2 linked regions of the Styela clava genome follow. The protein of the gene in region 1 purifies or fractionates together with the protein of each later gene. This does not show direct contact. Links are inferred from orthologs where the notes say so. Each region holds a gene or a part of one and is shown on either strand. Other genes may lie near its edges.

Evidence for each region.
Region 2: the proteins of uncharacterized protein LOC120327638 (region 1) and sin3 histone deacetylase corepressor complex component SDS3-like purify together in Homo sapiens (affinity purification with western blotting; 3 studies listed by BioGRID, with this or other methods). This does not show direct contact. The link is inferred for Styela clava from reciprocal best matches to the Homo sapiens genes SAP130 and SUDS3.

Annotation. Positions count from the first base shown.
Region 1 is NC_135256.1:11,353,446-11,369,961, reverse strand, and holds the start of uncharacterized protein LOC120327638, read left to right. Parts: upstream 1-9,192; 5' UTR 9,193-9,215; coding exon 9,216-9,446; intron 9,447-9,786; coding exon 9,787-10,002; intron 10,003-10,271; coding exon 10,272-10,540; intron 10,541-10,710; coding exon 10,711-10,829; intron 10,830-10,901; coding exon 10,902-11,030; intron 11,031-11,121; coding exon 11,122-11,264; intron 11,265-11,820; coding exon 11,821-12,030; intron 12,031-12,171; coding exon 12,172-12,274; intron 12,275-13,212; coding exon 13,213-13,323; intron 13,324-13,701; coding exon 13,702-13,825; intron 13,826-14,056; coding exon 14,057-14,146; intron 14,147-14,568; coding exon 14,569-14,702; intron 14,703-15,394; coding exon 15,395-15,487; intron 15,488-15,569; coding exon 15,570-15,707; intron 15,708-16,295; coding exon 16,296-16,354; intron 16,355-16,516. Other genes in the region: kelch-like protein 18, read right to left, coding at 540-683, 1,215-1,325; uncharacterized protein LOC120328217, read right to left, coding at 2,487-3,542. UniProt on the Homo sapiens protein: Acts as a transcriptional repressor. May function in the assembly and/or enzymatic activity of the mSin3A corepressor complex or in mediating interactions between the complex and other regulatory complexes.
Region 2 is NC_135252.1:4,483,793-4,499,912, reverse strand, and holds sin3 histone deacetylase corepressor complex component SDS3-like, read left to right. Parts: upstream 1-8,517; 5' UTR 8,518-8,801; coding exon 8,802-9,734; 3' UTR 9,735-10,823; downstream 10,824-16,120. Other genes in the region: uncharacterized protein LOC120342985, read right to left, coding at 1,249-1,412, 1,828-1,981, 2,058-2,235, 2,736-2,806, 2,889-2,968, 3,114-3,294; tRNA (guanine(6)-N(2))-methyltransferase THUMP3-like, read right to left, coding at 3,507-3,653, 4,167-4,371, 4,783-4,882, 4,955-5,121, 5,590-5,687, 6,607-7,284; zinc finger MYND domain-containing protein 11-like, read left to right, coding at 10,856-12,679; dnaJ homolog subfamily C member 16-like, read left to right, coding at 14,782-15,003, 15,395-15,533, 15,635-15,796.

The sequences.
Region 1 (16,516 bases):
GATCGTTAATGTATACTTTATGCCTTTTTAGGTTTGTAAACATGTAGGCCTAAGAAATAAGGGCAAAAGGTCCAACTCTTCCTCCTCCTATATGCCTGATTTTCTATTAAAGTACTATAAATATCACACATGTTGCTTTGAACTCAGTTCAGGAGATAAATAAACTGCAGCTCACAAAATGCATCTAGTTATAATACCTCTATTGTTACATACACTACGTAACAGAAAGCAAATGACATAGAAAGGTTAAATGAATTTACCGATTCATATTCACAGCATTAAATATAGGAAACAAAACATTTTCAATGATTAAAATATATATTAGTTGTGTTTAACACAATTCCGTTAATTCTCAGGGTGCACTTAGCAAATGCACCGCAGCATACCCTTTGGAAACGGATGTCTTATACATAAGGTGATACCATTATGCTTATACACTGATACAACCATCCATAAACATGTTCCCATAAATTAAAAAAATGATGCCAACAGGAAGCCTTCAGGGCAATAATGGAATTATATAGATGACTAAACCTTACCTGCATTGGAATGACAGGCATATTAGCCTCCACCATATCCGTTGTAAACATGCTATTGAAATAAGGTATCGAAGCAGCTAAAACAATACGATGAGCAGAAAATTGACCACCTTCCACTTTCAGAACAACATCACACATCTTTCCCTGTATTGAAATGAACGGATAGAATAATAATTCGAACAAATTTTGAAACAAGAACAGTATATATGTTGACATAATTACAAATTTTTAATTTTATTCTACTCAGGTTAATACTTTGTATTCTTTTATTCATGGGCAAAATATGGGTATGACGTTTACTCAGTAAGTATTCATAAGTTAGTTAATAAATTTGTATGTGATAATTCCTATAGTTAGCCAACAAGGACAATGTTATGAACTAGTTAATATCAAAAACGCATAGGTCATTGTAAGTGAATTGCTGGCCAAATTTTGAGCACTGACAAAAAGATAAAATTGCGCAACTACAGTGAAACCAGATATTCAAAAGTAAATCGAAACTCAATGTATGACGTATTCACTATTTTATTAATACTAAACTGTATTATTTTATTAATCTATAAACGATCCATGTATTATTACCTGTAAAAATGCATGTCAGTATTTCAATTACATAATTAAACAATATATCGAACTATTATCATATGTATAATGCACAACAATTTGTTCACCTACCTCTCTTCGAATCTGTTCAAAAACTGTAAGAATATTGTTTCCGAATCCATTTGTAGAAAAAGTTTCTTCAGATTCAATGTCTGTAAAATCCGACAAACCAAGAGACATCATGGGTGTAACAGACAACTAATTAAGCAACAGAGCTATTTATGCTGAAAACTTTAAGAAGCGGCTTTTTTATTGGTATAATATATCAAGTACAATAATCGCAGTAATATAGACAAAAAAGAAACACGGAACACATTAGGAAAGTTATTCAAGGAAAAATATAGATCGAGAATAGCTCTGAAACTGGACAAGAACATGACTTTAGCAAGAGTCCATGAAACACCAAAATAGCTATTATGAATACATTCCAATAATGACTGGCCAAAATTCCTGCATAACATTTTACAACATTTATTCGACCAAATCAGACTTCCTCAGGCAGGCAGTTTACCAACAGTTACCAGTGATAATATTGGAATATTGATTATTACAATTTATGTGGGACATGCAATACAAGCCAAATGTGATATTTCATAAAAGATTGATTAGACCAGGTTTCGGTAGAATTATTCCAATGAATAACAAAACTCAAAACGAAAGATGTCACAGACAGATATAACATGACAATAAAGTTTCCTTAGAGTAAGTCTGAGGGCTGTCAGACATAACTCTCCAAATTTAGATAAATGATACATTTGTGTGACATCACACAAGAGTGTGACAAAGTTAGTACACACAGTGATCAAGAATTTTAATTCACAAACTGATGATGACTCACTGTGACATATGAGACAATCGAAAAATGAAATCTAAACTTATGATATAAAATATCAGAATAGCTTATCATTCTATAACTCTGATGCAAAATACATTTTGACTTCAAATTACCTGAACAGATTTATTTTGAATTAAAATCCTAAAGAAACTTGACAAAAATGAAAAATTTGACATAAAACAAATATTGCAAACTAATAGAAAAACAATAACTCTGACCATCTGTATTCAATCGTCTTAAAATCTGTCTAATTTCTTGAGAACCCACAGTCAAGATTATATAATTTGAAACTTTATGAATTTAGAAGCAAGAAATAGCTTTTTTTTTGTATAAAGAAATATTGAAAATGGATAACATTCATATGACCAGTCTACCAGAAGTCTCGACATTTTGGAGTTTTTAGTCTTCATACAGATGAGACGAAATACAAGTACAATGAATTAGCTAAAAATGCCACAATTGAAAATCATGAACAATCACAGTTTAACTAGTTGTCTATGGTTGCATTATCAATAATATCTTGAACCAGACAATGGATTTGCAACATGAAATGGGCTATGAGGTTTTTCAGGATGTCCTTGATATCTACCCGGTGATCCCGATCTTGATCTGGAACCCTGAGTGACTTGTTGGGGTATCAGTGGTCCTTGCGGCAGCATTCGTATCATAGATCGTCTACCGGGAGAAGATAGTGAACCAGAATCATCTCCGAAACCCGATTTTTGACTGGCCATTTCAAGCTGTTTATCCAATGATAAAGAATTGTATGGTGACCTCTGATCATTTGATCGAGCGGTTGGTGGAGTGCCATGTAAAACGCTTATATGACGTGATGGTGTTCCATGAATGCTACCATGTTGTGTTGTTGGGGGATTAGTCAGGCCTGATAAGGAAAAGTGACTTGAAGGGTGAGCACTAAAAGCGTGATCATATTTTGAGTGCTGAGGCGCTGTCGGCAGGTGGCCAGACGCAGCCATACTCGCTCTCTGATACATTTGTATAGGGCTTGGTTGGGGTGATGCGGGACTATGTGGTCTCTTGACACCTTGGTGAGGGGCTGGGGAAGTCTGCGGATTCATTGAATGTCTCAAACTAGGATGAATACGAGGGGACGATTGACGACCAGGTAATGATAGATATGGCATTGCCTGGTGGTGTTGGTAATGTCCTCCTTGCATCATTTGGTAATTGCTCATGTTGGATAAAGAATGTGAATAATGGCCATGACTGGATGCAACCATTTCGGTTTGTTCTTTTATTTTTTGCTTTTTTCTTTCTTCCTCTTGAAGAACTTTCTTCAATTGACAAAAAAGCTGGTGTTTCTCGTCTTTCAAAGTCTCATGTTTTTTGTGCAAACTTGACAGTTGATCTTTTATTTGTTCCAATGTGACGCTATCTTCCTCTTCTTTCCTTCTCCTTTCTTCTTCTATTTTAGCACGCCGTTCAAAGTCTTTCTCAGCCTCCTTTTCTTCCCGCATTCGTTTTTCTCTCTCTCGAACAACATGCCGCCTAAGGGCTTCCTTCATAGGCTCAGACATCTCCTCTCTTTCAACCAAAGAGGGCATTATTGGTTTACAAATATTAACCTGTTAATAAAATTAAAATTTAATGAAAAACTTGTTTTTGTTCACATAAACGAACCAACTTAACGCGATAGAATGTTCAACTCAACGTGATTGAAAGAGCAACTTCGCGAATCGTATTTCTTTTAGGCGTAATTTTAACAGATTTGATATTTCTAATTCAAGTTTAAAAAACAGTCAGATAATAAGTAACTTTTTAGAAAATCTCAGTCATCCTGGTCAGATAATAATGTTAGAAAAGCACGAATAAGGAGGTTGGCAAACTTAGTTTGTGTAAGGTAACAGTATATCTAATTTTTTTATACCACATATTTATGCCTTTCGCTCCAAACAAGACTTTTCCATAGCAGCCACTGATATGTAAGTCGCTATTTTAGAAAAAAATGGAATCTTTCCGTGCATGGCATACTCATTTTATCACACCATGGGTGGTTAGCATGGAATTTGAACCAGAAATTTTAACCTACGATTCCTTAGTTAAGTATAAAGCTTTAATCTTAGTTAAGAAGTCTAAAGCCCCCACATCCTAATCTTTATTTAACATTTTTACGTCACTTCCACCTCGGAATTGTTATTAACTTTGCATATTATTTTATTCTCGCAATCGCCTCATGTCAAAGCTTTTACAATTTCCCAAACACACCGAAACCCAAGCGTCAAAGCCACAGTTGGGATGTTCCGTTTAAATAATTTTACACTTGTTTATTTTAAACAAGTTAATTCTGTCAGTTGCACGCTAAGAAACTCGGTTTTCATGCGGTTTCAATAGAAGTTGCACGCCGGGAATCTGTGATTGCACGTTTGCTTTCTCGTGAAAAAAAGCCATGAAATACAGTCTGGCAATCACATATAGCATCAGCGATGAAAAAAGGATAATATTTTGATAGAAAATATGTACATGTTTATGCGTTGAAGGAGTTAGTTCATAAGTAGGGATGTAAGTTTCGAATATTTTATTTTTGAAGCGAATTCCGAATCGAAATGTTCCGATTCGAATATTTTTGAATCTGATTCTATTTAGTATAACATCATATTATCGTTAACTCTCCTTGGATTTAAAAGAACTATAGCATAAAGGGTGATTAAATAACAATAATGAACTTGAGGAATGAGTGAAGTTAGTAGAAGAAAACATTAAATTGATGCTTGAACTACATAATATATTAGAGGATATGTATTATTTCGGTGCTCCCGAAGTATGCGAACCAAGATGGCGGACATCGGAACGTAACATGGGTAACAGGTTAGGGTTAGGCGATAATTTTTTTCCAATTTTCCTTATTCTAGTCCTATTATCAGTTCGAATACTAGCCAAGAGCCTCCCGTAGTATTTATACCTAAAATTATGGCCTAACTCTAACCTGGTACACATATTACATTCCGATGTCCGCCATCTTGGTTCGCATACTTCGGGAGCCCCATTATTTCTATATAGAGTTACACTCAGTTATATTTACTTATTACAGTAATTTATGTTCGCAAACAATATAGGATGTATAGAGATGGTTTCTTCTAAAATTCATTCAAATGATAAACGTCAGTGAAATATGCGTTAATATTGCTTGCGCCGTGATTTTAAAGAAAGCAAATGATAACGAGGGAAGCATCGCAGACCTATGTTTTATTGCAAATATTGTTGTTAATATGATGACATTATATAACTTAGGTAATTTAAATACTTGTTCATATAATAACATATTCGTTTAACTTCCTGACATTTTGAATAGTCTAAAAACAATTTAACGAAACCATTGGTTCCTCTGAGGCGGCGACCCATATGAAATATAACAACCCCCGGAGTGTTAAGACTTGGGAACGCTGTAAGCGTAGAGAAAATGAATGTTATTGTTCAACAAGACAACACTGCGGCGTCTTGCAATCGCCTCGTGTTATCTAAATTAATATTTTTTCAAATAGAATCAAGCTGTTTTTTCTCAAATTGCTTCGAATTGATGTTGATTCGAATCGCTTCGAAATTCTTAAACCTACATGGCTACATCCCTATTCATGAGAATCATATAAAAATCACATGAACATGAATTTTGTTTATTTGCATCAAAATGTAACAGCATATGTAGAATACACAAACATTATGAAAGATTCAGATGAAACTGTAACCTTTCCACATAAGTTACCTATTTTTACAATTCCCATTTTATTATTATCTGAATACAGGTCCCTTTTCAGCTTTTCCAATGATGTTTTTATGGCATCATAAAGTTATAGGTTAAACTTAAATACAGAAATATAATGTCTAATTAATATTATTTATTTGTAAAATCAATCGCGGTATTAACGATATATTGCGACGGCAAAGAAAATAATAAAAACATCTGAGATCAGAACAGACGAAACATACTGCAACCCGCGCATACCCTCAAAACGAAATCGCTCGGCCGTATCGAGGATCGACGACTGAGAATACCAAACGAATTCCAATATATACATCACTTTAACTGACTATTCCCGATACTAAATGACTAAGTTACGCTCCTAATACAAATCTAGGACATCAATTTACGATGCCATTGCACTTCAATTACAATCTCTAGTCGAAAACATCGCTAAATAGCGACGTCTACACTTCAGGGTTTCCCAATCCTTTCAAACCGCCCATTCTGTTTTTATGTCGCGACGGTCTTTTGCGAGGGACGCTTTTTTCTTTTTCACGGCTGAGTTACGTTTCCGCACCAGTGGCCAATAGAAATAATGCTTTGCTACCAAAATCAACCAATGGAAACATGGTATGGCGGGGGTTGCAATCTTTTGCGCACGGCTCCCACCACAATCATGTTGTTGTACCAGTCGGAATATTTTTGAAGGGCTGCTTGCTGTCGGCTTAAATTTGTAAAACGAGATTGTTTTTTATTTACTTTTGTGCCGCATGTAAAAAAGGTTTTCCATTGGTTCATATTGACTCTAGTCAGTTTTTGTATTCTGAATAGACTACTTTTGTCTTGCGTAATGAAGTGTCACAGTTTTTATTTTGTGAAACTGTCGGCTGATCTAACGGAGGCTCGAAAAAGAGATAATACTGGTATCGCGTCTTGAGTTTAAGCTGGGTTGTCTTCGTTTCGATTTTGGATGGAAGTAAATCACATGGAGCTTATGTAGTAAGATGCTACATTTTACTCTTAGACTCTATGATATATTTATTTTCTATGTCTGTATGTAGCCTAGAGCTGGGAGATTCAACATAATATAGTAATACCGGTACTGATGGACTGTGTTAGGACTGCATGACTGTATGGGTCTTAGTGCTGTACCGGTACTGGCATATCACTTACAGACTTATGCAACAGCCTAATTATAACCATCTGTTTTATTTCGATTGATTAGGTATGATAGAGTAAGATCTGAAGATGGTAATCAAATGCAATTTTCTGAATATCTTACATTTTTCTAGCTATGTATTCGTTACGTTTTTCATATAAGTAACGTTATATCTGTATATAGAACAAACCTAACATATAATATGGATTGAAATATTTGATGGCTTACATGCATAATATTTATACTAGCTGACCATTACCCATGGTTGTCCAGTGGCAGTAAACCATGTCTATAAGTCTATTATCGACAGTTACATATTTCTGAACTACATGTACTAAGAGAGAGATATAAAATTCAATCAAATTGTTAATTTAATTGGATTCAAAAAACAGTAATTCACCTGTATTGATGAGATTCGAAGTTAAATTGTTTTGTGGCTTCTGCTATCTTGATGCAGAGGTCATTCTACTTCAACTCAAATAGATTAAGCGAATATCTCAAACTAAACATTGATTTCATATCTATTTCAACAACAAATATTTTCAATTTCAGGATACTGGTAATTTAAAAAAAAAGCTACACAATCGAATGTATAATTTTTTCTGGGTGAACTTGAAACCTGAAATGCCATAATGATAACCGATATTGGCATTTTCACATCTATTCCTATATTATAATATTATGAACACGCATAATCTTAAAATCACCAGCTTATAAAATAAAATAAATCCTTTCAAAAAACATTTTTGAAGGATGATATCCATATACAGGGTGGCCCAAAAGTAGGTATACAGTTAGTTATTAAAAGTAGGGTTTGGTCCAAAAGTAGGTTTGTAGTTCTCATTTAGGCATTTTTAAAGTTTAAGAATGCTAGCTATATCGTAGACAGAAACTGTTTAATCTCTTAAGTGCTCAAAATGTCTTCCTCCAACATTGCAACATTCTTCACACCTGTCCAAAACACTCTGACACACAGTACGACACAAATTTCGATCTTCATCAATTTCTCTAAATGCGTCATGAATGTAATCTTCTAATTCATTTATTGTTTTGGGATTTTACTCATACACCTTATTCTTTACAACACCTCAAAAAAAGAAATCCATTAGTGTCAGATCAGGTGAGCGTGGTGGCCATTCAATGCCACCCCTTCTTCCGAACCAACGCTGCAGGAAAGACTTCGTTAAGGTAATCTCTTAAATATTCGCCATTAACCCTCAAATAAAATAAAGATTTACCAAATGTATTACCTTCCAAGCAGCTAGAAAACTAATGTAAAATTCACACTAGATTTATTATCTAAAAAATAAGCAATTTTTGTGGTACTTAACGAGCAACATAAAGTGAACTGCAAGTAGCTTCAAAGCATATAAAATAGTTCAATAACTGTATACCTACTTTTGGGCCACCCTGTACGCAGGATATATTCCTTCTATATGGTATAAAATGAAAATATCAATTTTTTACACTTTTAATCTTTCTATTTCTACTCGTGTATTTTTTGGGTACATTCTGTTTTTTTGTTCAGGCAAGTCTTTTTTAAATGACTAAATATTGATTCATGATTAAGCAATCAAGATATTGGCATTCTCAGTCTTTTGAAAAGAGATAGCTGAAGTTGGGAGATGTATACATTGAGCAATGAGACACTTTCAGATAAAACACAGCCTTGCTACTATCTTTTTCTTACATCAGGATTTTTTGTGTAGAATGAGGATAATATAAATGTGATTTAGTTTCATATATTTGAGGGTTTCCAGCACCTTACAAATAGTTTTTGATGCCACAATATCAGTTATATTTATCAATTGGTTTGGATTAAATCCAATTTAAAAAATTTTGCTGCGAGACTATTATATGCTTGAGAAATTTGGTATATATACTTAGTACATCTAGCTAGCAACTGAAAACTATAAACAATTTGAAATTTGTATACAAATTGGTTTTGTAGGTTTATAATTTTAGTCATCTTATATTAATTTGAATTTTTTTGAAGACCACATAATGAAAAACAACAATATACTGTCGACTGAAACCATTGCATGTTTCTTGTCAACTATTATATATATTCTATATTTTGTGTCTTTTTGCCTCGGGGCGAATAGTGTTTAATGCTGTTCTCCCATGATGCATTGATATGATTTTTTACAATATTGTGTCGGAACAACTCGAATTAAAATACTTGCATAGCATACCATGCTTCATTGCTCATTTTTTATATCGGTTTTTAATTGGACATAACTTGGCCAGGCCACTGAGGAAAAAATTACATTCATTCAAATGTTTTTCTGTCAGGAAGAAACTAACTTTTCATTGAGTCAAGTATCGAAGTCTGTATCAACTTCAATCTCTAATACCATATTTTTTCACTCAAAAGGTTTTATGATAAACTTTTGTTATAATGATGATATTGGATTTCATAAAGTAACAATGACAGAAAGCAAACAACCGACGCCAAATCGATTATTACGTCCTGGTGCTATTATTGCAAACCCACCTGCCCCAGGTTCGCCGTTTATACCTAGAAGCCAATACTCTTTGATGACGCCTGGAGACAAACACAACCCAGCCACACAGTCATCATCTGCTACTATCATTCAACCAGCTTTAATTGTAAGTAATACTAAATTTAGTGAGTATTTATATTTGGCTTGTTTTGCCTGGCGGAAGAGTCTCATTTTCAAAGCTAATTTTGAATTTCATGGAGTTAGAATTTTATACATTCAAGGGTGATAATTAAGAAGTCAAAATTATTAACAGAAACTTGAAAAGCATTATGTTTACCAAGTATTCCTTACAGTCTATTAAAGCAGGCCTGCATTCGCCACAAATTTGCTTTCAAAATTTAATTTTCTAATAACTGTCATTTATAACAGAGTCATTTATATATGTTCCCAAATTTCACAGCCCTAATTGAAACTATTTCAAAAAATGTGATATTTTCTGTTTTTAGTCGACTGCAGTTACTACCCGATTTCAAGTTTCTCGTCAAATTGGGTCCAAACCACAATTAATGGTATCCACTGGTTATAAGCCCAGCGCAGGCAGTGTTGCTGTACCAAGAGTTTACTCTGGTCATGCTTCCATTGAAAAAATAGGCACACCTCTAAACGCAGTTTCTGTTGACACACACGTGAAAGCTAATGTTAAACCAGTGCCAATGGCAAAGGTGAGTATCAATATCTTATAGGCCAATTTTCAATACAATTTGGAATCTTGTTTTGACTACTATTTCGTCATCGAATCGAAAATAAATAAGGTCAATCTAGACTAATTCTGATTACTATCATTTATAAACAATATTAATACTTATTAAACCCTAAATATAGGTAATGTTTCGACTTTCAATGCAATGGTTATGGAAAAAAATTTGATATTCATGTGTTTCCTGTTTTGAGATTCACTTTGTTCCAACCTAAACACTTCTTATACTTTTAGTCTGTTCCTGTGTTGCTTGGTCCTGGATTACGGCAAGTCACGAAAACGGGTACATATGGCGATCCATCACAACCTTTAAATGTTACCCGAGTACCAGTTCCAACGAACTCATGGGTAATCCATCAGCAAGACCTCAACACACCACCAGTGTCGAATACATCAGCAACAGCTGCAGTCACAGTGTCAAAAACAAAACTCATATTCCAAAATAATGCAGTGACATCTACATCAACGACTGTGGCAATGTCTCCTCATGATTTGTCAAAGAAGTACGTTTTTTTTAAATATACATAAATGCTGTCGCTTATGCAATTTCAGCAAAATGTTTTGGTACAGTTTTTTCCACTATTCTCAATATTTTTTTTTGACTGTATTGGAAATAAAAACTCAATATCTGAAGCTCAACTGATTTACTTGTCTTTTTATTTTATATTTTCAGGCATGGCAATCTGCCGCAGACGAAATCAACCATCAGTATTTTGCCAACCCTACCTAATATACCTCCTCCAGAAGCAGTTCACAGGAATGCACTTACAGCCACACCTGTACTCTCCGCAGGTGAGTTATCTGAGCTATTCAAAATTAACTAGAGTTTAAGACTTCTGTAAATATATTGTTCATTATTTTTAGGTAACAAGCCTATTTATCAAGTGGTAGCACCTGGATTTCAAACTAATATACACAGCCAAAATAGTGCGATTAAGAAACTATCTGTTTCTGCTACAATTGTCAGCCAGCCATCTGCAAGCACTACTACAGGTAAACTCGAAATTTCCAGAATAAAACGATTTTATTATCGTTAGAATATGAATTGAAACTGAGTAAATATTTACTTATTCATTGCCTTTAGCGAGTTTTCCATCATCAACTTCTGTACACACGACCGGTCAAGTAACAGTGATGACATGTGGACCAGGAATCACTTACATACCAGCTCCTAATCCAGCTAATGTATCTTCTATACCAATTGCAAAAGTATATCCTCAACAACAGGTAGATGATCAATAACTAACTATTGTTGTCTAATTACCAATTGATTGATATTATAGGATAAAAACTGCTTAAGGTTCTTGCTCGATAATGCACTAACAACCAGATATCGATTGATTGATTTGTGTAATAACGAAAATACTTAACTTTTTGATTTTAAGATATTTACATAATGAGAATTGATACCTCTTGGTATTTTTGTAGTATCATGTAACTTTGCTCAGTGATGATTCCCCTTTACTTCTGAATGAGTTCAGATGACATTGATTTAAGCAAAATTCTTTAGTGAATAATAAGAAATCGATGTAAGGTAGCTAGTTATTGCTGACAGTATTTGAATAGCTTAAATCTTCACTCATTCAATTTTAAACACATCGATTTACTCCATTAGCAATATATTATAGAATTTTAATTTCCCTTCGCTAAGAACAGTGCTTATAATATAGAGAGTTTTACTTTCGTTTAAATTGAATTCAAAAAATCTTTCATTTTAAGTGCATTGGTGTACAAATCTAGTATTTTACGACATTAAATTGCATTACAATCCTTACATTTTCAGCCTACGTCGAGGGTAGCATTGACAGCTACAAGCGGCCGATTGACAGTTCCAATGATATCATCAGTAAACACATCCAGTTCAACGGTGTCTAGGACAACAGGTCCCGCGGTATTACAAGTTGGTTCAATCAAACCGACACCCACCACTTCTACTGCTATGACATCACAGTCAACAATTGTATCCACCATACCTGTTGCAGCAAATAATAAGGTTTGTTCTGTAATACTCATAGACATGATAAGTATATTGGGGAAAAATTTGATTTTTGTTTACTTTGACCACTACGTTAACTACTGCTAAAGCTGTTTTATATGAATATAATGAACTTTATGTATTGTAATCATTTTCTAGTCTGTTGCTTTATGTTGGCCAACTACCTTGAACTATGCTGCTCAACAGACAATATCATCTGCGGGAAGTACTGCTGCTTCAAGACCCAGCATAACAATAACAAGTAAGTTGTATTTTGTTACATGTATTTATATACTTTATTGTTGAAATGATAGACTCCTTTTCATCTCAGATTCAGAACAAACGGCCAATGCGATAATTTAGTTAAAAAAACTTCTGAAAACTCTTAGAAATATTCTAGAATATATTTAATTAGGAATGCATTCTAAGTAAATCAAACCATTTAGTTAGTTGATTATTTTTAAACTTGGAATATTCTGCGCTGTTTTTCAAAAGAAATAGGATTTCTTTCACTGTAAATGTGAATATGTACTGTAAAATATTTTGTTTTTTGCTTGCACTTTTGATTAGATATTTTAAATTATAATTGTAAGATCTTCGACCGGTAGTAACATTTTCCATCCTATGGACCTTTTTAAACAGTTTGCTAAGGTTGTGAAGACCTAATAAGCTAGTTACTTATCGATTTTAATCGGTAAGTATGTTGATGGGTATTTGTCTGTCTGTTAGATGCACGCGATATCTCACGAAAGCGAGATTGAATCTGCTCCAGATTTTGCATGTGCATTCATCTTATCTCGGACCAGAAGCCTATTTATTTTGGGCGAATTATGTCGTATAATTAGCGAGTTATTATTTGATTAGTGATGGGACACAAGGTGTCACTATGGAATAAGAGCGCTGTTTTGTGGGATCCCCTAACTTTCGATCGATAAATTTTCGGTCTCTGACCGATATTCTCGTTAATAATATTATTTAGAAATGGTCTCTACTAGAGGGCTGCCTTTGATTTTTTTCTCCTTTGCAGTACCACAATGAAGAGTAGTTTATTTGGATTTTATGTTGTACATGAAAAGCTTATGGAATCTTAATATCTTACTATGGACCCGAGTTCTTGACCACTGGAATTTATGAATGCACAGCATGGTTTATAGCTGTGGATACTTTTTCTAACCCAAAATTTTTAATCTTTCAATTTAGGTACATCGAATCCACATCAGGTGGCAACAGCAATAAGAGTTCAACATGGTAGTAGCGTTTTAACGACACATTTACAAGGTTCTGGTGGTGCAGCTCCTTCTTTGTTGCAAGGTGAAATATTCAGACATTCGTTTCATTGTCACTACTTGTTGTTTACATCTGTATAACAGATATGACTAATGTATCAATTCGGATCATAACATTGCTTGTATAGGATGATAATAACAATCTTGACTCTTTTTGTAACAAAGATTACAAACAATGTTTTTTCCTTGTTATGGATTTAGATGCCTTATAAATATCTAGAGTCAGTCTTTTCCTACTAATGGGCTTCATATTTCAAATTTTTAAATTGGCAAGTTATTGATGCAGTTATTAAATATACTTGTCAACTACCAACAAGCAACCATTTTTTTCACTTGCTGATGTCTTGTGTTATTTTTGTTAGAATAATAATTGTCATTTCTAATTCGTGTTTCATTTGCACAGTCACTGATACTGCAAATCGAAGCAATACGTCTCATAATCAAGTCAACCCGCCAAGTGGTGGTGGCCCTTCTACGCCGACAATGTCTCCGAAGCCAGCTATATTAAGAAGACAAAGGCCTGACAGGTAACGATGATTAGCTAATTTTTGTGCTTGTGTCTTGCTCCTACAAGAATTCTAGGAAATTTCATTGAAAAGATTTTGAATGATTCAAATGTGATAGGACAATTAATTAGAATTTTTTATCTTAAACAGTGATAAATAAATTTGGTTGCTGTGTTATTTGCAGTCTTCTAATTTATTCCTATTTCTCGGGTATTTGTTTCACGAATGGTTTTTCAATTTTTTTTTTTCCAGTTCAAATGTTCTTAAAAAGTTGTCATTCACATCTGCATCAAACTTTCCAAATCAACGTCGAGATTTCCACACTTTACCAAATGACAGAAGGTATATATTTGTAATATATTAGTTAGCAGTAATCAATTAGGACTAGAAATGGACCTCCTATAGAAAATGACTTTTGTCTTGAAAAGAAACTCATTGTTCTATCTTGAATTTTGTTAGTTTTTGAAAAGCCTGTCATCGTGCATGTTTTTCGCCAAATGATTCTACATAGCTATTCAGCTTAATGGGCGACGTATAAGGTTTTGATATGATGAATTTCATAATTAGGTTGCTCCATTTTTCTCAAAATAAATTTTTGCACAAATGTTAACTTTATGTCATATTCAACTTGATACATTATTAAAAATAAATGAATTTTTTAGCTTTGTAGGATTTCTATCAAATTTGTCTTTATTTACCGATAATCAAATTGTTTCAACCAAATTTGTACTTGAAACTGACAATCTGATTCTGCCTTATTACAGGTCTGCTCCTTATCATATAAATCGACAAAAGTTAACAAATAACGCTGGAGAAATGAAAGATGTTCCCATAATCGTACCGACTGCGGGAAATCAAAATGAAAAAGGGGAAACCAAACCTGTGTTGCCAAATCAAGGTTCGTCTTCTTAAATTTGACATGGTGTTGTTTTATAAATGCTGCAATTTTAATGGGAAGAATTGTATTTATTCTTATTTTAATTTGTGAATCTTAACTAGGGGTTATTGACTTTAATTATCCGTGGCTTCTCTCAAAGACTCTCAACACTTTGGCCCTTGTCCTTATATAAAAACACACAGTTTTGCTTTATATGGGTTCTCATTTATTACCCATGTTCCGAAAACGTAAAACTACCAAACGAAAGAAAAAGAATGAACGCATTAAAGTCTAAGAATTTCACAATCAATTTACTTTTAATTTAATGTAGTCATCGCAAAAGGTATCTGGTAAATGCCTTTTCTAGTGGCTCTTAGAGTACAGCTCTGTGGCCCACTTGGGGGACGAGGGCCCAGTTCAAGAAATCTTCTCTGAACTCTGCTTTAATAAGAATTTATTCGTTTATTAAATTCGAACGATTCACTTTGAATTGATGTAGTCATAGCAAAAGGATCTGATAAAGGTCTTTCTCATGGCCCCTTAGAGTACAGCTCCATGGCCCACTTGGGGCCGAGTGCCCAGTTTGAGAAACCTGCTTTAACAAGCATTTATTAGTTCATTTAAAAAATTTGACATCCTTTTTTCAATCCATAGCTTTCAATATAGAATGATTGACTGTTTATAATAGTTTAAAATTTAATCTTTGTTTCTAGTATATGGGAATAAAATCATTCCAAGTAATGGTATCACACCGTTGAAGGTGAACAGCATAAAAACTCATTCTTCACAATTCTCCAATAATCCTGGTAAGTTATGTCATCTTTTATAGTCGAAGTGATTTTAATTTTTTTTGTTTTTTCATATTTTAAAATTCATTTTTCGTTCTAGCAAAAGAAGGCGCAAATCAATCGTTTTCAATACACCCTCTAAACATTGATTTACAAGTAAAAATGGAACCTCCTGGTCATTCAGCTTTTCATACAACTTCACAGCAACAACAACATACTCCTGTAAAATCTGAATCAAGTAAGTATAGACACAATGATCGGAAAACTGCGGCCCGTAGGCCAAATACAGCCCACAGCCAAAATTTTCGGGGCCCTCGAAAGACTCCACTTTCAATTTAAAAAAAAAAATTGCTCTGAAATATATTATCTGTTAACGGATTTATGTTGTAACAATGGCAGTGCTAGGTTATTTGTTTTGTAGTAGGCTGACTTGTTAGTGGTAATTAACACAGGAATAGAAAGCAGGTGTGTCATGATTTGAAGTTTAATGTGGTGATTGTGTTGAGGCCAACATTTGTTAGTGCGGCCCACACGCTTTGTATAAAAACTTCATTCATGAAATAAATTGGTACTCGGAATATTTCGGCCCTCACAGAAATAGTACTTTCTTGCATATCGCTAGATATCAGTAGCCGTTTGGACATGTACATGGCTTTGAAAACATGAATAAGTACCATATAAGTAAAATTAGCAAGCCAACTTAGCAAGGCTCCTTAGTTTTCAAAATGGTATACTAGTAATCATCTCAGTTTGAACTGGAAATATAGACTCATTTTTTCTTACTTCTAAACACAGATTTTAATTCCTCTTATAACTACTTCTTCAGATTCTGCGAGCCAGAAATTGCATTTTCAGAATCAATCGATGCATACTTACGCTGCCGAGGTAAGATTTTGAAATATTGAACCGCGTCTTTACAAACATTTTATAATAGTTGAATTGTAATGTAATTGTAGAATACTATTCTAGAATACCTAAATCAAATCCAGAATGACGAATCCTATGTTATTTTTATTTTGCCTTGTGTGTGTGCATAACTTGCAGAAG
Region 2 (16,120 bases), on another chromosome or scaffold:
TTTGAAAATTTTATTAAATGTATAGTGATCGTTTCTGCTAAAATGTTAAACTCCAGCCAAATGTGCTTTAGTATAGTTTGCGCCAAGATTTTAAAGAAATACAAGAGTACGAGGAAAACATCACAGACCATGTTTTTAATGAAGAATGATAAATTCATGTTACTATATTGGTACTCCAGAGAAGCGCTTTTATATAATGACATATTTGTAAAACTTCTTAACATTTTAAGTGGTCCTCAAAATTGAGCGAAACCATTGGTTCCTCCAAAACTGTGACCGGACTGAGGAGATGGTAAGAAATCGCAATAGGTTTCAGCTTCATCCCTGGAGCCAAACTACATTCAAACTGTGGCTCAGGAGCAACATTTTTTAGCTTGGACCTGACCTCTAAGGTGCAGCTTTAACAAAATGTTGGGATTTCGTGCTCCAGCTCTAAATGTGATCTCTATGGAATATAGCAACCCCAGAAGGGTGGCCTTGCAAAAGCAAAGAAAATAAACGAAGAGACGATTTTGGTCGATGTTGAGAAAACGCACAGAGTCACGCAATTGCCTCATTTAACTGAATTTTCCTTAAACAGAATCAATCAGTTTGTTTTTTTAAATTGCTCTGGTTCGAAATTCTGGAACTTACATCCTTAACAATGGCATTTCTACCTAAATATAGTCAAAACGATACTTTTCAAAGAATTTTGGAAAATGTAATCAACTTGCAAATAACAGTAGCTTCTTTACAAGCTCCAATTCCTCAAACATAAATTCGATCATTAATTTTGGTGACATCGCGGCAAGATAACGATACTACAAAAACATTATGAACTTAAGCACGCGTTGTCTTATTTCGCATTTGGAACACACGCACCATCACGGTCTCACAATTCATCTTCGACGGATAGGTTGTGCAACCCTGCATTGATAAAACGATGCTATTATATTTCATGCAGCTGACTTCATTTTTCATATGTTGTATTTTGCAGCTAGATTTCATTACATGATACTGCATCATTGAAAATAAGTCTGAATTTCGGTGAAGCACTCCTCTGATAAATAGCAAATAGGCAACCTGAAATATTTTTGCCCAAGTTGTGATGATCAAGACAAGATCACATATGTTTTTATTGTATTTCTCAATGCCTACTGGGCCTATAGACAGACATCCATGGCATATAGTACTGCACAATGACCCATAGGAAAAATAAATAAACCTTATAATTAAGTGCAACATTGATATTAGGAAAAGTAATGGTAGTTAGTTCACAATTTTCAACTTCTGACCACAACCAAATATTTCGCCTGGCTGTAAAACTTTCCTTTCACTGACATGTCCAGCTTCAACACAAATCATATTCAAATAACCTTCATCATCAAAGTCCGACATTTCTTTTGCTTTGGCAGACCATGGATTCCAAAGAACTGAAATACACAAAATGCATTTACTCATAAGCAAAGCCACGAGTGGTCACCAAAATCTTTGGGCCTCGTGATAAATAGTCTATAGAAAATTAGATTGCTATGCAATAATAGAGGTTACTTTACTTTAAGCAAATTTTCTTATAAACCAAGTGCCTGTCAATTTATACTAAATGCTCTGTGTTTTTGATACAACCTATTACACTACTCTTCCATGTGGTTCGTGTACCAGCTCCCTCCACTATATATTGTGGATCTGTAATTATTAACTGAGTCGTTATAATACCAGATCTGATCTGGTAATCAACTGAGAATCATTGTTCCTCTTCATATTGAGCAGTTTTATCTTCTACTCCTCTGGTATAAATATGAAAAATCTGTCAATGAAATGGAATTCATAAAGTTTTTATTATATAACCTGTATCCTTGAGATTTTGTTTTTCTATTTTGATTTTCCTCCCCTGACTGGATACAAAATGACATTTGGTTCCTGAAGAAATGTATACAGAGTCCACATTAGCATCAACGTGAATTTTTTCACGATTTTCCACTCTCCCATCTTCCTTAGTAACCTGTTAAACAAATTCATTTTAGATGGCTTAAACGAATGAGATAAACAAAAATCACTTTAGTTCATTATAAGACTACCTTGTCATTGTATGTACAGCCTTCAAACCCAGTGACTGAACACTCTTTAATGCTTGACACTCTGAAGTACGTATGAAGCAAAGCTGTGAAATCAAATGATTCGGTACCAGTGTTCGATATGGAAAGAGATGTCTCTAACTCCTGTGGTCTCAATTCAACAGTGTATGTCAACCGGAATCTATAATACACAAAAAAATGATGGGATTAACTAAATAAAAGCAGGCTTAAAAAGCATGACTGTGGCACAGTGATCCAAACTTTTTCAGCTCACAACACACTAAAAAATCACAGCATACTTCTTACAAAGCAAAGTTCTTTAAATCATTTTTTTTGTAAACTTTAATCCGATAAATGTGGCTGCTTCAAGCGGATTTGAATCACAATGAAGTCTTACCATTACCAAGAACATTTGGATTTTGTTGCAACTCACAATCACACTCGTTATTTTAATTTCAATTTCTGTCAGAAATCCATATTTGTGATTTGTCAAGCTATAGAGTTTGTAAGAAGCAGAACATAGGCTGCTTAAGTTAATACACTAATAATAGGTATTTCATGTTGCCTGATAAAAGGATTAGCAAAACCAAATTTCTAGAAAATGGTGATGCCGGCAAGGGCCAAATAGACTGAATATCCTAGGTCGATGCTTCAAAATTTGAATCTTTTCATGAGACCAACCTGTATTTCCACAATGATAATGTGTGATCATTTTCTTCTAAAACAAAAGTTGCTCTCACACAGTCTTCTAACTGATAAAAAAAACGGATTGTTCTTTTATAAAACATCAAGATAAGGTCATAGATGTAAAGATTATGTTATATATAGACATACCTTTTCCTGTTTTTGTAACTTCCACCATGAAATTCGAGCAAACCCATGTTGAGGACCACATGACCAAGGACCAAAGTTCGCTAAACAAAAATTTTTGGATTGGTAATATCAAAAATATATGAAACTACACTTCAATGAAGTACCAATCATCTAATGAAATCACAGGTATAAATATGGCAATTTCACAAATGGACAATTTAAAATATAACATTTACCTCTACTTACGAAATACGACTGGTATTCCTCCTCTGATTGCCTTGCTTCCATCCATTTTTGACAAAGTGCTCAAGAACAACTGCTCTGTATTATCATTAATCCATGATATAACTGTTGCACCAAATAAATGGATTTTTGCCGACGAGCCATTATCATGAATCAAAGTAACAACATTTGCATCCATATTCATATAATAGATTAATAGAAGTTAAATAAATCCTAAAGAAAATTTGAAAGCAGTCATTATGATTAATTCATGAGGACCAACAGAACAGAGTCAGTAACATGGCGGTAATTTCAAAATGGTAATTCACTGGCATACTATTCATCTGCAAACACATCTGAACAAAGGGACTATAAACTGAGAAGGAAATTTCAGACTTATAATCTTTCATTTTTAATCTAGCTTGGCATGTCCTCAAAATTATTCTTTGTACGTTGCAACAAGAACACTCCTGCTGTCAAGCCACCAATGTTGATATATTGCGTCTTTTTCAATTTCCATAGGAAGTGAAGTCCATCAATTGATCGTTTAATTGTTCTTTTGTCCTAAATTATGTTAAAAGGGTGAAATTAATAGGAGAAAAACTGTGCCAGTTTTTTATAAATAATGAATGGCCATTTTCTATGAAGATATACACATAGCATATTGAAGCAAGAAATAGCTCAAAGCTGAAATATTTCAGCTTGCATTTCAGTTGCTCGGAAAAGGCTGTGCATAAGCAGTCATTGATAAGGTGCAACTTTCATTTAGGACGAACCAAAATTATTTCAATTCGACATCGCATAGCCAATTTATTACACCCTGTGTGAGGTGGTGAGCATGGGATTTCAGCCCAAGATCTTAAACCTCAAAGGCTATCAAAGTTAAGGCTAACTGTAACTAACAATACCGAACCCACAAATATGAAATTTCATAAGTGTCCTTTGTCTGAAGACACAACGGGTCAATAATTGTCACAAGTGTCTATGATGGTCTGCGAACCAGGCACCACTAAGCAGAACTAAGAATTCAATCCACATACCAAACTATGTTAACAATTAAAGTAAAGGCTATTATACCTGTGTGAGCAAACATGCTCTTCCACTGTCACATATAGTTACTCGTGCAAGTTCTTTTAATAATGCTGGATACAGTTTACGATTATCAACTTTAGATCCAACACGTTTCCCAAATGGTAAATCTGATACCACAACATCGATTGAATTAGTCTTCAGTGGAAGACAAGTAACATCCCATTGTATGGTATCTGCTCTGAGGTTCATTCTTTGCAAAATAGGATGGTTATTATTGATAAGGACAATCAAATAAATAAGTTTATACAATGATAAAATCCAAAAGATGTCGACCGGAATCTATAATACACCAGTAATTGATGCATTTTCAACTAAAGAAAAGCAGGGTAAAATGCATGACTGCAGCGATGTTCTACCGTTACCAAGAACATTGAAATTCGTCACCATTACACTTGTTTCTGATTTTAATTTTTGTCAGAAATCCATATCACATAATAAAATGATAAAGTTTATATATAGTGATCCAAAAGATATAATTTGTAGAATACTGTACTTCCTTTTATCATGAATCTATGAAAGCCAGCATTTTCATCTCTTTTTAGACAAAGTCTACCTTATTTAACACTGGAGTATTTTTCAATTTTAAATCATAATCACCAACCTTTTGTCTTTTTCATGGTGTCCATCTACAAAATCTGGATTTTCGTTAATAAATTGTAAATTACAAGAACATCTTTCTGTGGCCGAACTAGTGTTGTCACCTAAAATTTAGAGCTGAGTTTATTATGCTGTTATTTTTTACATTGAACTAAATGACACAAAGCAATCAATACCTCCTATATGATAACTATTTGGCCATTCCAAAGCACCTTCAACTGGTATAGCACCTGAACCACACATTGGGTCGACAACCAATTCTCCCGTCTGTATATTACACATTCTAAGCATGCAATAAGCAGTTGTAGCACGTAGTGTGGTTGCACCAAAATGAGTAATATTCCTAAAAATAAAAAGAGATATCAATAACTATGTTTAATTAAGGTTAAAAGATCCCCATTTTAATAAAATTACTACGCTAAACAAGTGTCTTTTAACCTCCTCAGTCCTCACACTCTCAAAAACCTTGGTGAATATTTACATATTTCAAGATGTGCTGTACAACATTTCAATTGCTTATTTAGCTCAGCCTAATTGACATTTTTTAAACGAAAAATATTATAGGATGAAACTGGCATTTAAAATAACATTTTTAAATACAAGCAACAATAATGTCAACAACAGCAAATAAGAAGGCATTCGTGACTCAATCTTGAATGATGAAAAACGGGGGTGATCTATTTGTAGACAAAGCAAAATATGACTGCAGTTGAAACACAAAATAGAATTTATACCATTATCTATTTCATTTGTAATAATGTTGTTAAATATATGGCTTATTGACCAACTGAGATATTGTTTTAATAATAACCTTCTGTGCAAACTCTGAAGAGTCAATGCTACTGCAACTTCCAATGAACTCTCTCCTAGACATAGCATAATCTCCAAGTTGTAATTTGACAAATCAACCTGAAATGAACACACTTTGTAAATTTCAATCCATTTTGAAAATTTGATATTTATTAATAAATGATATTGACAGCATAAGAATATTTTTTTTTATGAAATGATTTGAAATTTAATGTGATCAAGGCTGTCGAACACGAGTGTGCAAACTGTGGCCCATGGGCCGAATGCGGTTCACAAGAAAAAATTGTAACAAGTTAGCAATTTGGTTTAATCTGGTACGTGCAAGTAATTTCAATCCCTTTACGTTGTAAAGCATATACCGTAACTGAGTCCAAATATTTTTTATCTATGCCTATGAAGTTACAATGCCCTAACTAGCTTGTGCGAAACAAACAATGCATGTCATGGGGCCAAAGTATTTTTGCTTGCAACTACTAGAAAGCCTATGTTAAACAAATGGGCAGCCCGTGGTTTTACACAGAAGTACTTTCTGCAACTTCGCGAGCTGCAGTTTATTTATCTGCTGAATCGAGTTTAGCGAACATGAGTAATTTTTTCGGCATTTCAAAGTAAAATCAGACAGAGATGACGGAAGAAGAGTTGACCATTTGCCTTTATTCTTAAGACCTACCTGTTTGCCTATAGCAAAACCAAAAGGATTGCTGCAAACTTGATAATGAACTTAACAGTCAAAAAGCTAGGCCGACGGTTAACGAATATGCCCCTACCTTACCTTAGTTAGTCCGCTTTAGGCCAACGGTGACACGATATTGAACGGTCAGTTGGGCGACAACTTCACGATCCCTAGATCGCCATGGTGACCCATTTAGACGTATTTTTGATTTATTTTTCACAGAACACTCGGAAGACGCTCGCGAAACACTAGTGTTCGGCGGAACACAGTTTGGGAAACGCTGCTGTAGAGTGTAGACAATCAGTCCAATCTTTTACAATATAATGTTAGAAAACAAAACCTCACCTGCCAATCTGTAATATCTTGAATCTCGCCTCCAAATCGATAAGATGCTTCGGGGGAAGTGACAGGTTGTTTTTTTCCAACTCTATTAGTTGTGACACGATATCGCACCAATGTTCCATCTGGGGCTATATTGGGTACAATAGGAGTCCCATTTTGACTTGTTCGTGGCTTTTTTGGTTCTTGAGGCTCAGTATCAGATGATGCTAAAATGTCATCTTTTGCTGGTTCCCTAGGAGAGTCATCCAATTTATCCCCGTTGCAATAGGAATTGCCTTTTGCCTGAGATTTTGGGTACTTTTTGTAAAGGTTTTCTTGTCTTGATTTACCTTTGCAGTACTGCTTATTGTAGCCCCAAAATTTTACAATATCAGACCAGTTGATTTCTCTTGCTAATTGTACAAGATCAGCATAAGATTCTTCTTTAGTTTCCTTGTAAATATAGTTTTCACATGTTTTTACAATCAAAAACATGCGATCAATCGACCTCAATTTATGAGCAAGTGCTAAAGAACTTCTGTTTGTTTTCCAATACACACGACCTTGCTTGACAATTACATCACTCTTATCCATATATGGAAATTTTTCTTGTATTTCATTTGCAGCCACTTTTTCAAGCCCTGTTGCCACAGATGCAGCAACAGTGACATTATTGTCTGGGTTAATATGGTTGGGATTCATACTTTAGGAAAAATAAGATGGGAGTGAGTATAAAGAGAAGGGGTAAAAGGGTGGTCGTTCATAACTATGCCTTATTTGTTGACCGTATCACCAGTAAAATGAGATACCATCTGCCCTTAACATAAAGTGGGTTTATTTCACAATTTCAGTTTATTGTTTATCAATTCGGTATTCAAATTGGCAATCCATATAACAAAATTATCAATGTGATTCATTTTTCACAGTTCTAGTTTTCTACTTTATTTGTTATAGTACTATCAGACTATGAAACATTATCCTAAGTTTCCCTCGTTATTTATTTGTTTTATCTGTTTTGCTGTGTTTGAATTAATTCTATATTTTCCACTTCCTTTCGGTTGTAAAACTTTTAATTTAAATTTGGCACCTTCTAAAGCTTACATAAGGCTTTGTTTGCCCTCCTGATTCTGTAATTATTTTGTTTTTATTGTTTGTTATGCGCTTGGTACGATATGTCCCTACTAAAATTGCTATATATGTTTGCTATGCCTATGCCCTACTAAAATGGCTATGTCCATCCTAAAACGGCTATGTTCATACTGAAATAGCAATGCCCATACTAAAGTAAAAAGGCTATGTCTCTGCTAAATCAGTAAATTGGCTATGTCCATACTAAAATGGAAATGTCTGCTAAACTGTCATAGTATTCACGTGTGTGTTGCGTGAACGTAAATTAATACGTCCGTTCCTGCTTGACTAAAGCCTTGCTTAGAGTGAAAACGTATAACGCCTTATTAATGAAGTGTGACACAATACCGGTACATGACCTATCGCAGGACACACGGTATAATAACAAGTCTTTCTGGTTTTAGGTGTATGGTCCCAACTACACCCATTGTGTAAACGTAGATTAATACGTCCGCTTCTGCTTGTCTAAAGCCTCGCTTAGAGCGAAAACATACAATGCCTCGTTACTTAAGTGTGGTACAATATAGTTGCATGAATGTAAATTAATGTGCTTACCCACGAAATCACAAGTTGCTCAGATGAGGATATCGTGAACGTTGGTCAAAATTGGTGTCTCGCTTGAGTTGCGTATTCATTTTAGCTCTGCGAAACGGTGAAGGTACGAGAGAGGTCGCCGGCGTTTGTTCCATACTCGCATGCGCCTTTACGGGTAATCGCTGTACTTTGACAAGCTTTTATTCAGTGATTGTGACGTTGCAGTGACGTACCGGTACCGTGCGTTTTACATGGCATAGTCATGGGGGTTAGAAATGACATAGGATAGGCCTATGCCTGTATGCAGAAATCGTTATGCTACTCCCACTAGAAATGCTTGTTGTACTAACTGACTAAACTACCTAGACCAGTAGACCCAGGTATGACCGTATGGATCAGAGACTGGATATTCTCTATAGTCCTGTACCGGTAGTCAGATAGTGGTGGTAGCATAAAAGTCATATTACAATATTGGAGATGTGATATTCTTGTAAAAGTATCGCTTTGTGTCCACGCAGATCCTAATTATTCACAACTTATAAACAGTAGGCCTCTAAATGAAGAAAATGTCGGAAGAAGATGAATATGACAGTTTTGATGATGAAAAATCACCAAAGAATAGTGAGGGGAGATCGAGCAGGCAAAGCAGAGGTCATGATGAAGACACGGATGACGCTAGTGAAACTGACCGAGCTAAATTTGAAGAAGAAGCTTTGGACCAGATATATAGGGACAAACTTGGTCAACTAAAAAAGCAACTAGCACAACTTGATTCTGGCACTTTGCAAGAATATTGTAAAAGATTGAAGAAACTGGAACAAGTTCACAAAGATAGACAAAGACAAGCTCATGCACATCAAGAATATTTATTGTATAAAGTTGAACAAGAATATGAACGAGAGAAAAAAGCTGCTATGAAAGACTTTGATGAAAAGAAGGTTGAATTAAAAGAAAACTTAATTGCAGAATTACAGGAGAAAAAGAAAATGATCGAATCTGAGCGTCATACAATGGAGCTCACAGGAGTTTGTCCTTCAATGGGAGATGCGAAAACACAAGTGAAACGTAATTTACGTCGACGAGCACATGACCCTGCCCCAGCAAATAATGATAAACGCCGAAAACCGAGTCCAACGCAACTAAATTTTGTACTTGATGATGAAGAAATTCTAGAAGATCTTAAAATCATTAACAAAGGCAAACCAGCAAAACTTTCTCATGAAATATCAGTGGAATCTCACAATACGAGTGGACAACCAGTAGAAGCTCGAATCGAGGGAGGAAAATTATTATATGATAAGAAATGGTATCACAGGGGGCAGCCAGTTTTTATTTATAATTACAAAGATAACACAAAGTTCAGTGGAGTTATTACAGTGATCGCTGACAGAGAAATTACAATTCGCAAAACATCAGGTGTGTCTGTACGGATATTTGCTTCACAGCTTCATAGAGGAAAGTATGGAATAAAAAAGAGAATGACTCAATGACAGTGACATTGGCGCATTACCATATAATGTCATCAGTAAATGTGTTGTTACCACAGGATGTCACCGAAGGTGCACTGTTGTGAGAATGACAACCTTTTATTCCCCAAAATACGGGTCTTGTGGGAAGTCTGTATGCACTAATGCCTTATCCAGAGACTTGTTTAAGACGAAAGTATGTGGACATTGTGCTAATATTGTGATGTACTTAATAATATTACGGAGTATAAACAATTTTATGATTGTGAAATTTTGTTGTATTAGATCCATGAATTAGGCTATAAAAAAGTATGAGGTTTGATGTCTGATTTTAGCATCTCTTCTTCAGGGAGCAATTTTATTATTTTAAAATGTTTTGCTATGAAAGTTGTTTTGTGGAGCATCTGTCGTATATAACTGCAAACATAAATAGTTTCAAAGTGATATTATATTAGAATATTATTTAGATCAGGGGTGTCAAATCCTAATATGATGTTTTATGTTTATAAAGGCGCTCACATGGATAAAATACATAATGTTTCTTTTTGCTCTTGTCGCTGCATTGAATCTTTCGCTGTTTTGCTCAATGCATTTATTACTGTAAGGCTAAGCGAAAGCCGCAATCTCTCGTCTTGTCTTTACTGCTAAATTTCTTGTGTGACTCAACTAGATGTCTGATGTTGGTTATATGGCCCATTGATAAAAAATGTTACACACCCTTGATTCAGATATTTCATATTCATAATTATTTTTCATCCTGTGTTTGGGATGTGGATTATTCTGTTTCTGCCTATCCCTGTCATAGTGTGAAGTGAAAATAAACTGTTGAGTTATACCATTGCTTTATGATCAGTTTTAATAGAATAAGGTTCCGTTTGACAATTTGTTTTCACTTGCTGATGGATACTGCTGAATCGTCAGCAATCATATTTTTAATTGTATACCTAAGTTGACAGGAATAAGTTTCATATTCTTGTAATGTCTTGATCTAACAAATACCATATTATGACAACTGACGATGCTTAATTTTCAACCTTTCAACCGGTGGCTGCTTTAGCAGAATTTTGTTTATTTTTTGTACATATTTGTATAACATTCTATTCTTTTATTTAGCCTAAAGATTTTAAAAACCCTAATAAAACAAAATGTCATTTTGTAGACATTCTGAACCCGTTGCTCTTCAGCGTATTTGGAAAGCAATTGATGTTATTCGTGGCCAACGTCAAATTGCCAATCTTTCCCGAATATCTAAAGTTATACAAAGAGAGTACTCCTATACTCCAAAAGAAATTTTACATCATATTTTGAAGGCTGTGAAGGACAATATGGTTGTAGAAACGGTTTCAGTTGGTTGCAAAGGTTCCAAAGCTGGGATGGAACAAGAAGGTTATTGGATTCCAGAAGATTCTAAAGTTCACTGGTATGAACAAACTCATGATTGGTATTGTTTCATATGTCATAAACCTGGTAGACTCTTGAAATGCAAAGATTGTGTGAAAGCTTTTCATAAGGAATGTATGGAAAATTCAATAGAAGAAACCAAAAGTTGTAAATACTGTAGACGGAAAAATACTGCGTTATTGGATGTCAATCATACCAGAAAAAGTAAGGAAATATTTAACAAATGTTTGAGATTTATTGCTCACCGAGCAATGGAAAATTTTCCAGAGATATCGCATCATCCTGATGCGGAAGGTTATATGCATTATAATTACTTTATAAAGCAGCATATGAATTTATATGAACTGGAGAAGTTATGTAAAGAGAATAAATTTGAAGTTGCCTTGGATTTTCTTTGTTATGTAGAACTGATTGTTCATAATTGCATACTTCTGCTCGGTGAAAACCATGAATATTCAAAATCTGCCAAAAGTGTGTTGGAAACATGTATGCATGAAGTCAAGGAATTGTCTTTATGCTCTAACTGTTACTTTCTGTCCAGCACAAAACCAACAAAAGATTGGTTTAGCACTCCATGTCAGCCACCTCATAGAGTTGTTTGGGCCAAGCAAAAAGGATTTGAATATTGGCCTGCTAAGGTTATTCAAGTAAATAATGATCAAGTGGATGTTCGATTTTTTGGTGGTCATCATGAGAGAGCATGGGTTAAAGTTGATAGTATGAGAAGCATTGTTGTTAGTCCTTCAGAATTACAAATCAAGATAACTAAAAGTTGGAATAAAGCTAATGCTGAAATGAAAGAATACATCATACAGACTGAAAAAGTTTATGGGTCAAACTATGCTGCTCAAATTGTTTCTTTTGACTATGAATGTTCAAGCGAGGAATCCTCTGATAGAGGACAAGAACTTTCAAACATTGAGCTGCAGACAAAAGCAGCAAAGCGTAAGGCAAATCCGAAGGACTTTACGACAGAAAAACAAGGCAAAATTCGTTTAAAAATCTCAAAGTCTAGGCTTAAACCGGAGAGCATAACTGAATCTGAAAGCAATACTAGTGGAAGTTCTGCTGTGATAGGGATTATACAAACTACGCATGCAGATAGAAAAAAGCAGATCTTAGTGCTTGGTGAAAAGGCAAAACCGAATAGTGAATGTGCTCGTACTTGGCAATATGGAACTGACTGCATTGTTTTAATCAAAAAATATAATTTAAAGAAAAAATACTCTGGTCTTGCATACCCAAATATCCAAAGTTCTAGAAAAGCACACAAAGTGGAATCAGAAAAAAATCAATTGTCCAAGTCATTTAAATGCAACTGTCGTAAACGATATCAATTAGTGTTATCTCGATATAAAGCATCTGTGAGAAAAATGAGAACAGTAGAGCGAAAGCATTTGTTGATTTCAAGTGCATTGTACATTCGGCGATATTTAAAACAGCAATTCACTCGCGCACAAGATCTTGAAGAGGAAGTAGCTCGATTAAAATCAGAAAACAAATTGCTAAAATCAAGATTTCCTGAGAACGCTGAAAGTGCAGTAATGGACACGACAATATTAATTTAATTTTTCTTACATAACTTGGATCTGATTATCATTCACTATATTATTTGGATATCCTCAGTCATCAATTTGTTTCATATATATATTAAAAATTGGGCGCTCCAGGAGTATGTGTACTAGTACTGAAACCTATGGGCAGGGGCTATATTCACTTGGCTAACACAGACTGTCCCTATTCACTTGGCTAACACAGACTGTCCCTGAACTCCCTAATAGAACTAAAATGAGGAAAATCCTAATAAATTATGGCCTAACCCTATCCTGGTACACACATTTCGGGAGTACAGAAAATTGCATGCGTTAACGCCAACTGTGCATCTGTCAATGAATCTTTTTAATTTAACCTTATCATCATACTAAAAATTCATCTCTGTGTATGCCTTTAAAAATTTTAAGTATGAAAGTGAAAAATAAAAATGGCTGCTTCCATGTTTCATATAGCCTTGCATCGCAAGACTTGTCTTTTTATTCTCATCTATGTATTATGTTTTTATCTACACTGGTTACAAACCTGTATATCAATCACTGTTCAATAATTTGGAATGAAAATATTACATGAAAGAATTTTTTTTCAATCATGAATTATAATATTTCTCTTTCTACATGAATCTTGAGTTTAGCTTGGTGTTGTCTCTTTGTAATCATGCTTCCTACAAAAATCACATTTACTCAACATCACGATGCTCGCCAATACTGCTACTCCGCCAATACTGCTACTCCAATAACCTAAGTTGGTAAAAATGTTGCTGATATTTAGCCATATCAAATTAATTTCAATTCAATCAATTGGAAGGAATTTTTTTTCAATTTAAATACTGTAGTTATATCGGCTCTGCTAATGTTTTAATATAAAAATGAACAATTCAAAAAAGGTAACAATGTCACATTAGTTTTGACCAATTTTTTAGAATACTGGGTTCATAGCATAAATCATCAGATACCGGTACTCTCATTTTTGGACATATGGATAAAACTCCATTAATATCAAATATTTATAATTGAAATTCATCGAAACAATCCAGGTTATGCTGAATTCAAAAGTTGGTGGTATTGATAAAATGTCTACAATACAGAAAAACGCCCAAGATATGTCCTTGCCCGTTGCTGAGATTTTTATTCCATCTCGCAGATTGATAAATTCATCTCATTATTACATTGTTTGATCCAGATAGAAATAATTTTCTAAACTAAATTATATCATTTCCATTGGGAGTAAATTACGGTAATTTCAATTTTTCGTATCTCTTTACAAATCAATAACAGAAATTTGCAATCAAAGAATGTAATTGACCTACTTGTTTTCAGTATGGAGTTAAAATAATAAGAAATTTTCACTGTATTTGTGTTTATATCATCTGAACCTGTAGCATGAATTTTTTGTCTGCCATCTACAGGTAGTTTTTTGTTGGTGATTGCAAACTGTTTATGAGTAAGACTGTCCACATACCAGAAAATTTGTATGAAATTCAATAATTGAGTGCAAATGGGGTGTTGTATATTCAATTTTTTTCTGATGGATTTTTTTATTTTTTGATTTATTGTATACTTAGAAACACAAATCTGTTAACGCCTAATTTTCTTTTGTGTTTTTTGCATTGTGTCTTATTCTAATCATTGCTCAATTTTGTGTTCAATATTCCTTACTTTAGTAAAGCTTTAAAAACTAAGTTGTCTTTTCTTAATTTTTTTGGATACATAACACAAAGGACGAGACATAGATTCTATCGGTGAGTAAAGCAAATATATTGAGTCATTGCATGGATTTATACTGACGTTGTCTATTCCCTGAGTTTCCCACAGGCTCATAATCACGTAATTTTCTTGAAGTCCTGAATTCTCATGTTATTTAATCCATCAGACTGCTAGGAAATGTAACTTCAAATTGAATTATGAATAAAATTTATTATCACAGTGTTAAGGAAAGTAGTTGAATTCTTAAACTATAGCATGCAGTTTGAGTTGAGTTTTCAATGTTTTATTTAGAGTTCAAAAAATAGAGTAATAAAATCGAGATAACCAGAATATCCAAGAGAGATAATATGTTCTAAAGCTCCTGTAATAAATATTCTCTTTATCGCATTTTACAGCATCTTCACTTTGTAAATATGAGAATTGGAATTTGTTCAATCCTTCATGCATGTCTGCTGACTTCAACTTTATGTGAAACAATAAATTTTGATCCATATGAGGTTATGAGCTTAGATCATTCTGCGTCACAATTAGATGTGAGATCTAAGTACAAAAAACTTGTCAAAGAATGGCATCCTGATAAAAACAAATCACCAAATGCACAGGAGAAATTCATCAAGATACAACAAGCTTATGAGGTAGGCCTATATCGTTTACAGTATAGTGCCCAAGGTTTGACCATTTCATGTATATGAGATTCGTGGACTTTCAATAAATGTCCCAGGCGGGTTTGTGGGTCGGACCCTCAATTTGAGACTGAGAGTTTGGGGAAAATTAGTTATTATATCATAATAGTGCTGCTCATGTAATCGCTGCTCCTGTTTTAGGAGCTATTGCCTGTGAATTATTTCTTCTGTTTCTTGAACCCCCCCCCCCCCCCCCCCTTTTAAAAAAATGCCTATGCCCCTGATGTTGAATTAATATAAAAAACACAAATCTGAAGATTTCCTATACAATTTTACAACCTATTTTATGATAATTTGAAGAGCTTGAAGTGAATTGTCATGACATTCAAGTCTTTCTTTACAGATTTTATCAGATGAAAACAAGAGAGAACAATATGATACAGGTGGTTATACTGGTGACAATGTAGGACAATGGCATCACCAGAGCGAATCCTTCAACTTTCGTTATTCTGATTTCTCACATGACTTCTTCAGTTCTCAAGGTGAATAGTCAATGCCATAAAAAATAGGAAAATTGGTAGTTGTCTTATCGTTATTGTTTCAGTAAAATCTTATTTAAAACTGGAAAATCTTCCCCTTCCAGGATCTAGTCGAACTATTTCAATCCATGACTATTATACAAGAATTTTACCAGACAGTCATCATACACCTCATCTCATTTACGTTTACTCAACATTTTGTGCTCAATGTATATTATGGTTGAGAACAACTTGGCATAAAGCTGCATCTGATATTGAAAACCTTGGTGAGTTTTTATATTTGCATTTTTCTATTGTAAACCACATGCTGCCTTAACCTCAGTAAAATTTAATTATAGATATACTATGGTTTTTGGGCTGTGCTATACTCCCATGTCCCATTATATTTTTTCTTCAAACATTCTTAGTTCTATCTTAATAAGTTAAATTTAAAATAATGATGGTTGGTTCGATCGAATAGCAATGTATCATCTATTTATTCATTTCAGTAGAAATATTGGGCTTGAGAAAGCTCCAATATTTGAGTTTACGCTTATTAGATGCAAAGATGTAGTAAATAAACTGTATTGATTAAAGAGTTTTGTGATTAG